4 linked regions of the Arabidopsis thaliana genome follow. The protein of the gene in region 1 interacts with the protein of each later gene in a pairwise test. Each region holds a gene or a part of one and is shown in the gene's direction. Other genes may lie near its edges.

Region 1 (4,637 bases):
TGCCGAACTCCAGCACACCTTTGTGCTCTGTACAAAAAATCTGTTAAGGGAAAAGGAAAGGAAGTGAACCTTGCGGAACATTCTGAGGGTACAACCCACCTTGATGCTTCTGACTTTGCTAATGATCTCGATGAGGTTGTCCTTGTGGAAAACTGAAATTTCTATCGTGTGGGGCTCGAATTAATATGTCATAAATAAATCGACGCTTGCTTGAAATTTCCTAAGTTTGTGTGTTTGTATTACCTATCATGTGTAATTATTGTGTGCTTGTGTTACCTATCATGTATAATTATCGGGTGTTATATGCTTGATTAATAAATTTATTTTCTACTTACCTTAATCGATTATGTTTATTTCAGAAATGGATCACATTACAAATGGAATGGTATCCAAGGCAAACCTTAGAGATATTTGCATACCGAATAGTGGAACAACACACACTATTCTAAAACAAAAAAAAAAATTCTCTCATTTGAAATCAACAAAAGTTATTGTTAACACAATATCAGGTCCCATAGACTTAATTGAATGGACCGGTAAAACAAATTTTGCATTACTTAACGGGACAAAGTTCTCGATAAATAATGCATTATTTTTACCAAATTCAAAAAGAAATTTGTTGAGTTTCAAAGATATATACCTTCATGGATATGACACTCAGTGTGCAAGTGAGAATGAAAAAAAGTACATGTATATCACTTCTGAAAAATTGGGAAAAAGACACGTTTTGGAAAAATTACCAAGACTCCCATCAGGATTGCATCATACATACATTAATTCAATAGGATCACATCTTGTTATCAAAAGAGATCATGATGATTTCACATTGTGGCACGATCGCCTTGGTCACCCAGGCACCACGATGATGCAAAAAATTATAAAAAGCTCACATGGACATTCAATGAAACCCTAAGAGTTTTATCAAGAAAATAAAAGGACATGTGTTACGTTTTCTCTTGGAAAATTGATTATAAGGCCATCGACAAGCAAAATCGATAAAGAATTACCAAAATTCCTTGAACGAGTCAAATGCGACATTTGTGAACCTATACACCCACCATGTATACCATTATATTATTTCATGGTAATGATAGACATGTCTAGTAGATGGTCACATGTTTGTTTGTTATCATCTTGAAATGTGGTATTTGCGAGATTTCTAACTCAGATAATCAAAACTAAGAGCTGAGTTTCCTGATTATCCAATCAAAGGAGTTAGATTAGATAACGTTGGTGAATTTACGTCTCAAGCATTCAATGATTATTACATGGTAACAAGAAAAAATGTCGAACATCCTGCACCCCATGTCCATAGTCATTCGAGGGAGAGCTTGTATGATTATACTTTTTTACCTTACTGTGGTTTCTACCAATGGATTTTATTAGAAAAGTTTTAACGAGACAACATGAAAGATATCGCAAAGAGATAAATGACAAATGAACTCTGGACGAGAAGAATGTTGCAAAAATTAAAGAAATATTTACATATTAAGTCCATTTGCATTTTATCTATATACACTCATATAGATAAAAAAAAAACAACGTAAAGTTTCTTTTATTATTATTTTTCTTTCGTGATTGTTCTTTTTCTCATATTTCTTCTTTTTAATATATTTATTATTATTCTTTTTAAAATATTAAAAAAATTGAATTGATAAATAACTTATAATACAAAATTCTATTAAATTATATTAATAAAATTAACCGCTCTGTGTTTTATTTTTTCAGAGGTTTACTTAATCTTCAATAAGCGTAAATGTTTTGGTTGGTAATGTTATTATGTTTATAAAAAAACAACTAACCAAGTTTTTACGTTAGAAAATATCAAAAACACTTTTGGAAGGAAAACTTGGGTACACGATTGAAACGACGTCGTTTATGAAAGCAAAACAAAACCCAGAAAGTTTAGGTCTCGCCGGAAAAATCGAATCAAGCATCTTCTTCTTTCACGTACGAAACAAAAAGCTCAGAGCAGAGTCGAATCGGTACGAATCTTTATCTAAATCACTCTGATTTAGTTTCGGTTATTGTGAACCATTTGATTGCTCTGTCCTTTCAATTATCTATCTAGGTTCGATTACTTCGTTAGCTGCTTAATTCTGTGATCAATTATCTCATTTAGTGATTTTGATTTTAGGGTTTTCTCTTTCTTCCTTTAATCTTATATTGGGATCTTCTGTATCGGATAAAGTCATAACCTTTGAGATAAAGGAATCATCTTTATTGCTGAAAATGATTGAGCTTTAGGTCTAATACAAGTCTGAGAGTCTGATTTCGATTCTGAGTATAAAAATTGAAACTTTCTATTTAGGGTTTTCTTAATCATTTGTGTTGCTATGGTTGCTTAATGTATCACTAAATCTTGGTCTTATTAGTTGGTTGCTACTGATATAGAATTGCATCTGTGAGTAAATTTAGCTCAAAGATAAAAGAGTCCCCTTTATCGCTGAAATGATCGAGCTTTGAGCTCTAATACAAGTTAAAGCGTTCGAATAATCGATTCTGATCATAAAAATTGAATCTTGCTATATAGTAGTTGCTTAATCATTTGTGTTGCCATGGTTGCTCAATGTAGCACTTAATCTTAGTTGATTCTTAGTTAGAATTGCATCGGTGAGTAAACTTGGCTCAAAGATAAAAGAGTCCCCTTTATCGATGAAATTGTCGAGCTTTGAGCTCTAATACAAGTTAAAGCGTTCGAATATCGATTCTGATCATAAAAATTGAATCTTGCTGTATAGTAGGTTCTTAATGATTTGTGTTACCATGGTTGCTCAATGTAGCACTTAATCTTATTAGTTGATTCTTAGTTGGAATTGCATCGGTGTGTCGTTGGGATTGTCTTTGAAGGATTAATATGTGTTTTCTCTTTGCTTATGAAGCGATGAAGCATCGAGTTCGGTGTTCATGAAGGTCAGAGAGTTAAGTATTAGCAGAACTGGTTAGGTCTTAGTGACAAACAAGGTATTCATGTTATCCATCCCTGATACTAGAATGTGGAATCTAGCATCGAGTTATCTTACGGGAAACATTGGACCGAAAAACGATATCAGAAGACCGGTCCATGCTCATGCGGAGTGTTCAGATGACGATGTATCTTCTGTAGGTAGTAAAGACGAAGGTCTCGAGTGTCCTATATGCTGGGAATCATTTAATATAGTTGAAAACGTTCCGTATGTGTTATGGTGTGGACATACGATGTGTAAAAACTGCATTTTGGGACTTCAATGGGCTATTGTGAAATTGCCTACTCACCCGGTTCAGCTTCCTCTCTTCATTTCATGCCCCTGGTGCAACCTTTTGTCTTTCCGTCTGGTCTTCAGAGGAACACTCAGATTCCCTCACAAGAACTACTTTGTGCTTTGGATGGTCGAGAGGATGAATGGAGAGAGACGTAACTCACCTGGTGGAGCTCAAACAGATGGAAACAATGATCATACAAGGGAAACTCCATCTCCATGTCTCCACAATCGCCATCATCGCAGTCAACCTGAACCATCACGTTCTGTTAATGATCATCGCATTCCAAGGGACAACATACAAACTTCACTGAGGAAGTCTCTGGTTTTCTTTGTCCAGTTGACAGCAAAGTTCCCATTAGTTGTCATATTTCTGCTGATAATACTCTATGCAATACCGACCAGTGCAGCCATATTGGCGATGTACATTCTAGTCACTCTCTTGCTGGCTCTACCGTCGTTTCTCATCCTCTACTTCGCTTATCCTTGTCTCGACTGGCTTGTTCGAGAGATTGTCACATGAACTTTCTAAGGATGCGTTCAGAAACTTCCCATTCCTAATTTGACGACTTTTCTTCAACAACTGAGACCCAAGATCGGTCATGTAAGTATAACAATTTCGTAATTACCGTCTTCTTTATCTATATATGGATGTAGTTTTGGATTGCATTGTTGCTCTACGAAGCTGGACGTATGTGTTGTAAGGGCTCTTGCAGAAACTTATTAGTATTTGTGGATTTGTTTGTGAGTGTTTGAGTGTCTCAATAAGATTTATGTATATAAAGTTTATGCAATGTTATTTAGGAATTGCGTAACTAAATGCATTGATTTTTCTTATATATAATGACTAAATTGTATGGGTTTTTTTTTCTTTTGTTTGTTTGTTCCACCCATTTCCATAGAAGAAAGCAAAAGATGACACCCAAAATTAGGGGTGGGTGTACGGCTTTTCGGTTTGGTTTCGGTTCGGTTATTTCTCTTTTATGTTTTCTATGAGTTCTAGTCTAGATCATTTGAGCTTAAAGCGTTAATTGTGTTCTACGATATGAAACAAAGACTCAAAGAGCATTCAAATATGATGTATACACAAAAAGAAAGAGTTAAGCTGTCTTAGTTTATGTGTCCCTCTTCCACCGCAGCAAAATCAAGCCCGGAAATCTTCATCGGTCCAATGTTAACTGGCAAAAACCCCGGTGTGTTGATTCAACAAAACAAGACAACATAAATGTAATGAGAATGGCACAAGAATAAAGTGTTGGTTTTACTTACTAACAGCATCAAGTCCAGCTAATTTGGGCATAAACTGTCTGATATGGTCCTCTGCTGCTTCATCTGCCTTCAATGTCTCACACTCGAACGAAACCGATACTTTCTTCTTCCCGTGTTTTTCTTCGACTA
Region 2 (3,398 bases), 8.8 Mb from region 1:
AAACTTTTGAATGGTTGGATTCGTTTTTAGATAGATTCAAGAAGAATTGAGATCAGTAATGGTGTGAATTTGCGATCTTTACTTTGGGTTAAAACTCATTTGTTGAAGGCTAGTTTCATTGTGCGAACATTGCTATGCTGATAAATGGAGGAACTTGAGATGATTTTTTTTATCTTGGGACTCAATTGTTTTGGATATGTTAGTTATTAGTGAGGTTCTGTATATTCAATTATCATCTTTTGTTTCTTGGATAGCTTTAAACCGAGTTGGTTGATAACTTGATATTTGATTAGGTTGCTACAAAAGTCAGGTTTGATTGCAAGATTTATGTATTGAGATTCAAGGGTATAGTATGGTGTTTTACATCACATTTTTAGATATCTAAAATTAAAGCTATTTTAACGGATTACGTTGAAGTTGGATGCGGATAAAACACTGCAAACAGAGGGTTTATGCGATTGGTGTAGCATTTTAATCTTGCAAAGTTGATCTAGTCTTTGCTTATTCGTTTAACTGAGAATGCTTCTGTTTGATTGACAGGTCTTGCAAAAAGCTTTGGAAGTGTGGGATCTACAAGTAATTCCACTCAATTGTCCAGATGCAGAGCCTGCGCAGATAGACCCTGAGCTTGAAAGCGCCTTTATCTGCCACTTGCATGACCATTGGTTTTGTATAAGGAAAGTGAATGGCGAATGGTATAACTTTGATAGTCTCCTTGCTGCCCCGCAACATTTATCGAAGTTCTACCTTTCTGCGTTCTTAGACTCTCTCAAAGGCGCAGGATGGAGTATCTTCATAGTGAAAGGAAACTTCCCTCAGGAATGTCCCATGTCGTCTTCTTCTGAAGCTTCCAATAGTTTCGGGCAGTGGCTTTCTCCTGAAGACGCAGAGAGAATAAGAAAGAACACGAGCTCAGGTTCTTCTGCCAGAAACAAGAGAAGTAATGACAATGTTAATCAACAAAGACGGAATCAGGCATTGTCACGTGAGGAAGTGCAGGCTTTTTCAGAGATGGAAGATGATGACTTGAAGGCAGCAATTGCAGCAAGTTTGCTTGATGCTTCTGCTGCTGAGGCCAATCTCGGAGCTGTGGGCACTTCTGAAAAGGAAACTGAGAAACAAAAGTAGCAGAGAAAATAGAGAACAAGTGTTATTGATGGAGGTGGTGGGATATTCACTTTTGTTTCTTTGTTTTGGTTTGTTATCAAGAGTTATCAACAATTTTACATACAGAACAGAGAAAGAAAAAAGCTTACATCGAAAGATAGAAAACAGAGGATAATAAATGGTTTGTGGAATTGTTTTTGTTTGATTTTTTTACCATATTAAATTCTTCTGACAATCTTAAATTGAGGATAAAGATTCGACCTTTTCGAATTCATAGGAAACTACATCTGAAAAGGGTACATAAATTACTTCAGTTGACTAAAAGTAGATGAATGACCAATTTAAATGTGTTCTATGGAAAATATAAAAGGATGGTGTAAAATTTGATTCATCTCTAAGTACAATCTGGCGAACTTTTACAGTTTGAAAAAAACAAGAAGGATAACACTTTTAGGCTGGAAATAAAAACATCGAGAGGACAACAAACACCTTCTTTTTCCCTAAACAGAGCATAGCCTTTGAATTATTAATTAATTATTTGTATATTCAAAGTTGATGGCTTTGATGATGATGGTGATGACCCAACTTTAGTCTCTTCTTCACTTTTTATTTTTACTTTCTTTGTGATACATCAGGTTCCTTCGATTCGAGCCTTTAGGATTTCCTTTCACATAATGATCTGTTTCTGACATTCAGAGAAAGATATACATATCTGGGTTACTTTTGGGATCTGATCATCTGAGGAAATCTGAATCCAAGTTTGCTCTGATCTTTCTTCTCAAATGAGTTCTTCTTCGGACAAGTTGTTCAACAGAGACAGGACAATACATGAGATTCTGGGAGGAGGCATTGGTTAGTGAATACATTTCTTTACCAAATCCAAAACTTATAAAAGCTAGGTGATCTCTCACCTCTATAGCCTTTTTTTTTTCTTGTTATGAAATGAATCTGCAGTTGCAGATGTGATGCTGTGGAGGAAGAAGAATGTGAGTGTTGGTATAGTTACAGTGACAATAGCTTCATGGATGGTGTTTGAGGCATTTGCTTACACTATCTTTACTCTTATTTCAAGTGTTCTTCTTCTCTTGCTCTCTATTCTCTTCCTCTGGTCCAAATCTGCTTCCATTCTCAACAGGTATATTAATATTCACTTGTAACTAATATTACTTCATTTCTGATTCAATTTCTTGGCTCTTCAGGCCATCACCGCCGTTACCGGAGTTTCAAATAAGTGAAGCGATGGCGGAAGAAGCTTCGATATGGTTACGTATTCATGTGAACAAGCTACTCCAAGTTTCGCATGACATTGCAATGGCAAGAGACTCAGAGTTGTATACCAAAGTAGCAGTGTCACTGTTTCTTCTCTCATTGATCGGAAGTCTCATGGATTTTCAGACACTTTGCCACACCAGTAAGTAGATATTCTAAAACTCCTATAGACTTGGAATGCTTTTGAGCTGGATATTCATTTTGTGGTTGTTCTTGGTTAATTTGGCAGGCGTTTTGGTGGTTATGACGGTTCCAGCTTTCTATGAGAGATATGAGGATTACATTGTTGGCTCTATTGAGTTTATCTGCAACAAAACTAGAGAGCTTTACCTTAGACTCGAGATATGGGCTAATCCGGAAAATAAGAAACTGAGCTGAGATGCTGTCACCTCTTTCTTCTTCAGGAGTTTCTTTTTCTGATTTTTCTCGGTTTTGTGGAAAGAAAGGAGAAAAATGTATGATTTTTGATAAATGTTGGATGGTACAGCCAATATATGAGCAATCCACAGAAATTTTATTTCACAGTTTTACTCGAAAACTGAATCTCTATTCCGAAAACAATATTCGACCAAGTTCTGGCCTCTCTCAATCACCGAAAATGAAGAAGAAAACAATGTTGCTCTTATTCCCTCTGCTTAAAACTATGTGTCTCAGTTTCTTTTGGACGCATCGAGTTCCCGGACATACTTCTTTGCCTGGATTAGAGTATTAAGAACCCGGATTAGAAAATGAGAAAGAAGACTTTGCGTGACCGATTCGAATGCGATTGCGATAAAATAAAAATTCTATCAGTTGTTACCTGTTCGAGGGTCAAAAACATGATTACGTTCCATGAGCCAAGGCGTCCAAAGTTGGGGATGAAACCCTTGTAAAATGCCATAGGACCCTGTAGAGGAAACCGTAAAGAGTTTGTAACATTTTCTGGGTTATATCTAGAACAATGGAGGTATCAGAAGCAGAGTTGCTTACGTCGCTCTTCAGAGTTTTGACGAAGCAGTCAATGGTGCCCTTGTAAGCACCAG
Region 3 (4,367 bases), on another chromosome or scaffold:
GCTTTACTCTTTACACATTCACATACCAATCTTGTTACTCACGCAATCTTCATTCCTCAGGTTACTTACCGGGAAAGCTATACGATCTAAACAGCTCCAAATACGGTTCAGAGGCGGAACTGAAATCGTTAATCAAAGCGTTGAATCAAAAAGGAATAAAAGCTTTGGCTGATATAGTGATTAACCACAGAACAGCTGAGAGGAAAGACGATAAATGTGGATACTGTTATTTCGAAGGTGGGACTTCCGATGATCGTCTTGATTGGGATCCTTCCTTTGTCTGCCGCAATGACCCTAAATTTCCCGGTACCGGAAACCTCGACACCGGAGGAGATTTTGATGGAGCGCCCGACATCGACCACCTTAACCCTAGAGTTCAGAAAGAGTTGTCCGAATGGATGAATTGGCTTAAAACTGAAATCGGATTCCATGGTTGGAGATTTGATTATGTTCGAGGTTATGCATCTTCCATCACCAAATTATACGTTCAGGTAAATCACATATGAATTCTCAAATATCAGACAACAGTATTAGTATATAAGAAACATAGGTTGAGATAATTATTTACTATTAGTATATATAAGTATCATAGGTTGATAGGGTTATTTACTACTATTTAGTATATAAGAAACATAAGTCAATGCAATCAATAAGAAATATATAAGAAAGTTCACTACTGATTATGTGATAAATTCCTCTGTTTTTGGATACACAGAATACATCACCGGATTTTGCGGTGGGTGAGAAATGGGACGATATGAAGTACGGAGGAGACGGGAAACTAGACTATGATCAGAACGAGCATCGGTCGGGTCTCAAACAGTGGATCGAGGAAGCGGGTGGTGGTGTGTTGACAGCTTTTGATTTCACCACCAAAGGGATCTTACAGTCTGCTGTCAAAGGTGAGCTTTGGAGACTAAAGGACTCGCAGGGAAAACCGCCTGGTATGATAGGAATCATGCCCGGAAACGCTGTCACATTCATAGATAACCATGATACATTCAGAACGTGGGTTTTCCCTTCTGATAAAGTCTTGCTTGGATACGTTTATATACTTACTCATCCAGGAACTCCTTGCATTGTAAGTATCATTTTAGTATGTAGCTATACTATTTACAACTACAATCTTGTTGATATGTTATTTTTGTTGCAGTTTTATAATCATTACATAGAATGGGGACTAAAAGAGAGCATCTCAAAGCTGGTGGCTATCAGGAACAAAAATGGGATTGGTAGCACAAGCTCTGTAACGATAAAAGCGGCAGAGGCGGATCTCTACTTGGCTATGATTGATGATAAAGTTATCATGAAGATTGGACCAAAGCAAGATGTGGGAACACTTGTTCCTTCTAATTTTGCTTTAGCTTATTCAGGCCTTGACTTTGCTGTCTGGGAGAAGAAGTAACGCATAACTCGAATCATAAGAAAAGTAATCGAATGTATCTTCTTCCTTTTTAATAAAACATTTTGGCAGTATCTAAAGATATGTATAATGAAATATAAAATGATAAAGAATACCTAAATAAAAAGAGCACTAGTGGTGTTAAAGGATACAACTCCAGTGAAAGAAAAGAGTTCAAGTGAAGAAGTGTCAACTTGTAGAAATAAGTATTGGAAAGTTTCCATCGTTTTGTTTTGTTGCATACAACTAATATATTATATATTGGCCGACTCGTATAAGATTTGGAGCCCTACTAAAATCAGAATTATGATGTCTTAACCACACAATACTGCCAAAATCAGAACGAATTATATTATTGTAGAAGAAGAAAAAAAAAGTATGGTGGGAAGTGGGAACAGTTAGACAGGTAAATTCGAATAAAACGACAGCGTTTTTGGCTAGGACAATAAAAGTTGAAGACGTCGGCTTGAGAAGAAGTAGAAGTGACGACGAAAAGAAAGGGGAAAAAAAAAAGGAAGGAAAAAAGTGAAAACCGTCGGCTTGAGAAGGAACTTTGATATTTGGTGACTCTTGAAAAAAGCAAGCTCTTTCTTCTTCCTTCTTTCGCTTTTTTCACACCTCAAAATCAAAGATCCGAAACACGATTTCGGAGGAAGCTTCGATTCTGTGTGTTTGATTCTTCCTCTTTTTTGTTTTTTGTTTTTTTGTTCTATCCCGTTTCGAAGCGAGCTCTGATTCTCGTTCCTGTCTACTTTTTTTCAGACCTATTTTCAGATCTGAAATAGTTGTGTTTGAGAAGCGGGATTGGTGATCGGAGCTGGAATTTGGTTGGTAATCGGAGGTCAGAGAGAAGTCAACGGATATGCCGGAGGAAGAATCGATAGATATCAAATTCAGGTTGTACGATGGCTCCGATATCGGGCCTTTTCGGTATTCTGCGGCTTCTACTGTTGACTTTTTGAAGCAGAGGGTCGTCTCTGATTGGCCCAAAGGTTAGTTTTAAGGTTTTTTGAATCGGTGCCCCTTTTTCCCCAATCTGATCCTGGTTTTATTCATGATCTTCCCACGAATTTCGTGTTGATTGTCACTGAATCCTGCAATTGTCGGTAGAAATTCGAAATTTAGAGCTGTAGATGAATTATTATTAGCTCATTTGAGATGTTATAAGCTTGATGTATGAGAAAAGCCAAGTCTCTGTGATTTGAGGTTGATCCAAGCATCAATTTTTTTGTGGTTTTGGTTAGGCAAAACAGTTGTTCCAAAGGGGATAAACGAAGTGAAGCTGATAAGCTCGGGTAAGATCTTGGAGAACAACAAGACTGTTGGGCAGTGTAAGACACCATTTGGAGATATTGCTGGTGGAGTCATTGTGATGCATGTTGTTGTACAGCCTTCTCTAGCTAAATCCAAAACAGGTAGTTGTTTGTCTATGTGTAATGTTCTTCATGTCTTTTATATCAGAGAATTCCCGTTTCATGGAGATATATGTGTCCTTAGAGGTTCCTCAATCTTTCATTAGTCTTGTGGTATTTATCTTGTCAACTGTATGGATTATGGTATTCATTTATCTGGCTCAACTTTACGTCTTATAATATCTAGCTCTAGTCATACTTATATTAATTGAGGCTGGTAAGATTTCGTAAGAGTGTTCATGCACATCAGAAAGTTAGTCGGTGACTAAGATCAGTACATTCTTTTTCTTTCTAACAGCCTATGGTACTGACTCAATCAACCTATCAGGTGATTAGTGGTTTTGTCTAAATTTGGTTTGTTTGTCTTGAGAGAGAGTAAAGGATACCCTAGAATTCATTCCTAGGTTTCTGGTGTGTTCTTTGTGTGAAATAAAGCAAAAATCAGCTCTAAGCTTAGCAAAGCATGCCATGAGGAAAGGAATACCTGAATTCATTATTGGTCGTCATCTCCTTGTAAACCCCACTGAAAACTTTTGCCAGTCTTTGAGATTTGTCTGCATAATTTGTTTTTTCACAAACTTGAGAAAGTCGTGGAAAGTGAGTTTGTGATTACTAAGACGTTTGTTGATGAAAGCTAACTAACAGTTGAATACTGGTTTTTGATTAAACAGAGAAGAAGGTTGATAAAGCACCAAAGGCAGTAATCTGCACATGCACCATTTTGTGAAGGGAGGAAGACCAATGTATCTATCATACACATCGTTTCAATTCTTCCGGTACAGAAGAAAACAAAATCAAAAAAAGAAAGCTAAAAGTAAAGTAAAGCTTCCCTTTAAGCTGTGGAGTTATTTATCATCTTTGAATGTGTAGAAAATGAACTATAAATTCTTTTCAAGTAACTCTTTGTCCCTTATTTGTTTTTTCTTCTTACTTTCCCAATGTATGGAAGCTGTATAGGTTACTAGGTCCATTACGTTACGTGTGATGAAGATAATTATATATCTATCTATTTTTAAAAAAGATTGTGCCTTTGTATTTTTCGTTCTTCCTTTCACACCGTTTTAGTATAGGTGAATTTGCGAAATGGCCAAATTCTGGCTGGCCCGTAAATGTAATTAATGAATTCATGAACTCTGAACATCACTTCGAACAGAAAATTCATCTCTTTTTGTTTTAGGTTGGGAAAAGGTAAGAGGATGGAGTTGCGGTTCCGATCAGACAGACAGGAAGAGTAGTGATGGATGAAGGCGACGTAGTCTCGAACAGAGGCATGATGTAATAACACATGATATATGACACAAGTCATAACCTAGCTACTTATAAATACCAACATAAACTAAAAAAAGTCATAACAATGGTATGTACTTATCTACATTAAAAAAAAAAAGAATTGCAGAAAGATGGCAATATGAAACTAAATTGAATCAAACACATGTACTACAAACAATAGTTAAAAATATCAAAACACAAGTAAAACAACCTAGTTTTAACATTTAAAACGAGGAGAAAAAAAACCAAAAAAGGGAGCCAAGCTTTATGCGTGGCGCTAAAAA
Region 4 (3,122 bases), on another chromosome or scaffold:
CTATATTTTTCTTCTCTCTCAGTTTTTGTTGTTGTTGTTATGTCAAATTTTTCTCTCTTTTCACCTAAACTTTTGCTATACATGTCTCTCTTTTCAAATTCGTAGACGATATTTAATACATAATTTCTTGGAAAAAATATAGTAACTAATGATTATTATTGATTTGTTTTGGCGATTAATAGTAGTGAAAAGAATGCAAGTTGGACCTAGCGAGTGTGTTTACAGAGGTCGGTGCCGAGATAGCTACGAATGTAGGAGTCGATGTGGACCGCCTGAGTTCTCACATGAAACTCTTGGTTTATGCATGTTCGATTATGATGATTACGAATATTTTTGTTGTTGTACCACAAATTACTAAAAATAATTATGATTTTGGTTGAATATTTATATTTTATTTATATAGAAATGAATCATTGTTTTAAGATATGTCAACAATACAGAATTTTATATAATGTTTGCAGAAAATAATATTTTCTTGTAACAAAAATGCCCTATTTTTTGAGTTTTCATTTGAATAATACCCTATCCTTTTTCCTCTTTTAAAAACTAAATTTAAGTATATAAAATTACTAAAATTGCCTCATTAATATTTCATAATAATTAAAATGAATTTAAACTTAAAACTGAAAATTTCCATAAATTTTAAATTTTAAATTAATATTTAATATATTTTACATTTTTAAAGATAACCGTTCCTATTTTAAATATTTAAACAAAATTTCGTCCTAAAACAAAAGAAAAATAAATTAAAAAATAATCTAAGATCCTGTCTATTGAAAATTCAAAATTGTGTTTCAAACACTTGAAAATATCTTAAGTGAGAGACTTTAAAATATTTTTAGATATTATCTAATTAAATTTTAATATAGAAAATAAATAAACTGTTTTTATCTCAAAAATAGTTGAAAAAATAATTAAGATTACGATTTTTTTTCTTTCTAAATATTGTTTTAATTTATTAAGTAAACAACTTTTATTTTAAATATGGACAAAACTGTCATTTAGATATTAAAAATTAAGTTTTATTAAACACAAAGAAAATGTAGTTTTCAAATGAAAACTCAAAGATATGATAGTTTTCATAATCTTCCTTTTTAATTTCTAAATTTATAATTAATTCCAAAATAATATTGTTTTTGGTCAATAGTCCAAAAATGATTTCCTTTTTGGATCGATGATCAAACTTATACCGATTAATGTTTTTGGGCTGTAGGAGGCCCCCTGTAATTTAGCTTTTCCACTAGGATTTCCCATACTTTCAGCCTATGCCCTATTCCATTTTTCTCCCAATGTATATAATTCCACCTAAATCACTAAAATCAATTAAGCTTCTCAACTTCCGTTTGAAATTGATAATCGCATTTTACAATCGTTAACCGCAATCAAACGGTTGATCCAAACACGATCTATTAACACTTTCTCAAAGAGAAAATCCAATTCGGGTTATAACATTTTTTTTCTCCAAAATAGATAAGTCTAATCAGCACAAAACTAGATAAGAAACGATATTTGAATCTCTAGGTTTTGGATGTGTCCCACCGTCTCCATGGCTCTTCTCCGGAGTTTTACAATGAAGGTCGCACGTGACTACTTTCATTCAGTTCTAACTTATGGTAAAAGAGATTTTTTGTATTGTAATTTGTTTGTGTGTTTTGTATGTCTCAGATTTGTTTTAAATTTTAGTTTTAGTTTTGTAAATATTTTTTGAGTTTCTAAATTCCGATTCGGGAAATATTGATAGATATTATGTAGTTTGTTTGCTCGAGTTTTTTCTCCTTTGTTTACCTTCTTTAATCTTGTCTCCAGGAATGTTTTTGTACTCGTTAGCTTATCTGTCTTCAGAAATGTTCTTGTACTTTCCGACTCTTTGTATTTCATAATAACTTTCCTCCAAACTGGTCTTGCTCATATAACAAACAGATTTATCAAATTTTGTAAATAAGTAAAAAACAGTCACATGACAAAAACCAAACACAAGTATATAAAAAAGTCAAATAAAAAGAACAAAGTCATGTGCCAAAGAAGCTTCTCCATGATCCCACTCATTTACCAAAGTCGTGTCGTACAACCCACGACCTCCTCTCCTCCCCATTTACTCCAGCCATGACTCTTCACGCGCCGTCGTCACCATTATGTTGACCGACGTCTTTTGGCTTCGTACACGACGGAGCCGTTTCGTTTTCTTTCTCCTCTGTTCTCCATTACTAATCCCAATCCTCTGTGCCTCAATCCCAATCCTCTGCGCCGTCGAGATCTTTAGTCGTCTCCGTAGTCGTCATCCTTGGTTTGCTAAATCCACCGCCGAGGAAGATGATTTGAGGCTCCGGAGATGTGAAGAAGGATGTGGTTGCGGCGGGTTTGATGAACCGGAAGAAGCTGGTTTGCTTCAGAGATACTTGGAAGATCAGTTGGTTTTGGTTAGATCTGTTTATGATTGTGGTGAAGAAGATCAAGATCAAGATCAAGATTCCGATCAAATTATTAGAGTTCCTCTTCTTTCGTAAATTTCCTTTTTTCGATTCCTTTAGATTTTGATCTTTTTATGTAGATAAACAAAAATGTCAGTTTTACTATATACTTTTCAAATCCGATTAATTGAAAATTTTCTACCATTTTCGTTTCTCTTGATTCAGTTTTTTTTTTTTTTTTTTCAACAAATACACCAAAAAATAAATATTTCAACAAAAAAACACACAAAAATTCACATCATAATTATATAATTTATATATATCAAAAATTATTACGAATAGTGCAAATGTCAAAACGGATAATTTGGCACATAAAGTTCGTGTCCAACCGCATCATATCACTTATGTAAACAACATTTTTCAGGAATGACTCTTATGAACTCTAATTAAGAGTTCTAATTAATTTTGGATTAAAAAAAAAAATCATTACTAATGATAAAAGAAATTCATTACCATCAATTTTAATTTATCATCATCTCCGCCATTAATTAAGGGGCCAGGTTATTTTACTTTCCATTATTGTCAAGAGTATATTTTTCCAATAATGCTTTTTATTTTTGTTTTTTGAGAGAATTTGGTAAAAAAATGTTGGATACGAGTTCTTGTGTTGGGTCAGATCAAGGGCCACCTTTGTTTTGTGTGAACCGAGTGTGT

The links.
Region 2: the proteins of AT3G29270 (region 1) and AT3G54120 interact in a two-hybrid assay, tested with the Arabidopsis thaliana proteins (one large-scale study listed by BioGRID).
Region 3: the proteins of AT3G29270 (region 1) and ATGP4 interact in a two-hybrid assay, tested with the Arabidopsis thaliana proteins (one large-scale study listed by BioGRID).
Region 4: the proteins of AT3G29270 (region 1) and AT1G35430 interact in a two-hybrid assay, tested with the Arabidopsis thaliana proteins (one large-scale study listed by BioGRID).

Annotation. Positions count from the first base shown.
Region 1 is NC_003074.8:11,232,356-11,236,992, forward strand, and holds AT3G29270 (RING/U-box superfamily protein), read left to right. Parts: upstream 1-1,817; 5' UTR 1,818-1,985; exon of another isoform or gene 1,986-2,882; 5' UTR 2,883-2,970; coding exon 2,971-3,762; 3' UTR 3,763-4,103; downstream 4,104-4,637. Other genes in the region: AT3G29280 (uncharacterized protein), read right to left, coding at 4,350-4,417, 4,509-4,637.
Region 2 is NC_003074.8:20,040,625-20,044,022, reverse strand, and holds AT3G54120 (Reticulon family protein), read left to right. Parts: upstream 1-1,682; 5' UTR 1,683-1,889; coding exon 1,890-1,959; intron 1,960-2,061; coding exon 2,062-2,242; intron 2,243-2,306; coding exon 2,307-2,518; intron 2,519-2,605; coding exon 2,606-2,754; 3' UTR 2,755-2,897; downstream 2,898-3,398. Other genes in the region: AT3G54130 (Josephin family protein), read left to right, coding at 541-1,128; PUMP1 (plant uncoupling mitochondrial protein 1), read right to left, coding at 3,027-3,071, 3,176-3,262, 3,346-3,398.
Region 3 is NC_003075.7:12,849,147-12,853,513, reverse strand, and holds ATGP4 (Ubiquitin family protein), read left to right. Parts: upstream 1-1,703; 5' UTR 1,704-2,068; exon of another isoform or gene 2,069-2,164; 5' UTR 2,165-2,264; coding exon 2,265-2,394; intron 2,395-2,646; coding exon 2,647-2,817; intron 2,818-3,485; coding exon 3,486-3,541; 3' UTR 3,542-3,863; downstream 3,864-4,367. Other genes in the region: AMY1 (alpha-amylase-like protein), read left to right, coding at 61-491, 716-1,081, 1,154-1,405. UniProt on the Arabidopsis thaliana protein: May serve as docking site to facilitate the association of other proteins to the plasma membrane.
Region 4 is NC_003070.9:13,030,042-13,033,163, reverse strand, and holds AT1G35430 (uncharacterized protein), read left to right. Parts: upstream 1-1,788; 5' UTR 1,789-2,132; coding exon 2,133-2,504; 3' UTR 2,505-2,611; downstream 2,612-3,122. Other genes in the region: AT1G35435 (Putative membrane lipoprotein), read left to right, coding at 183-358.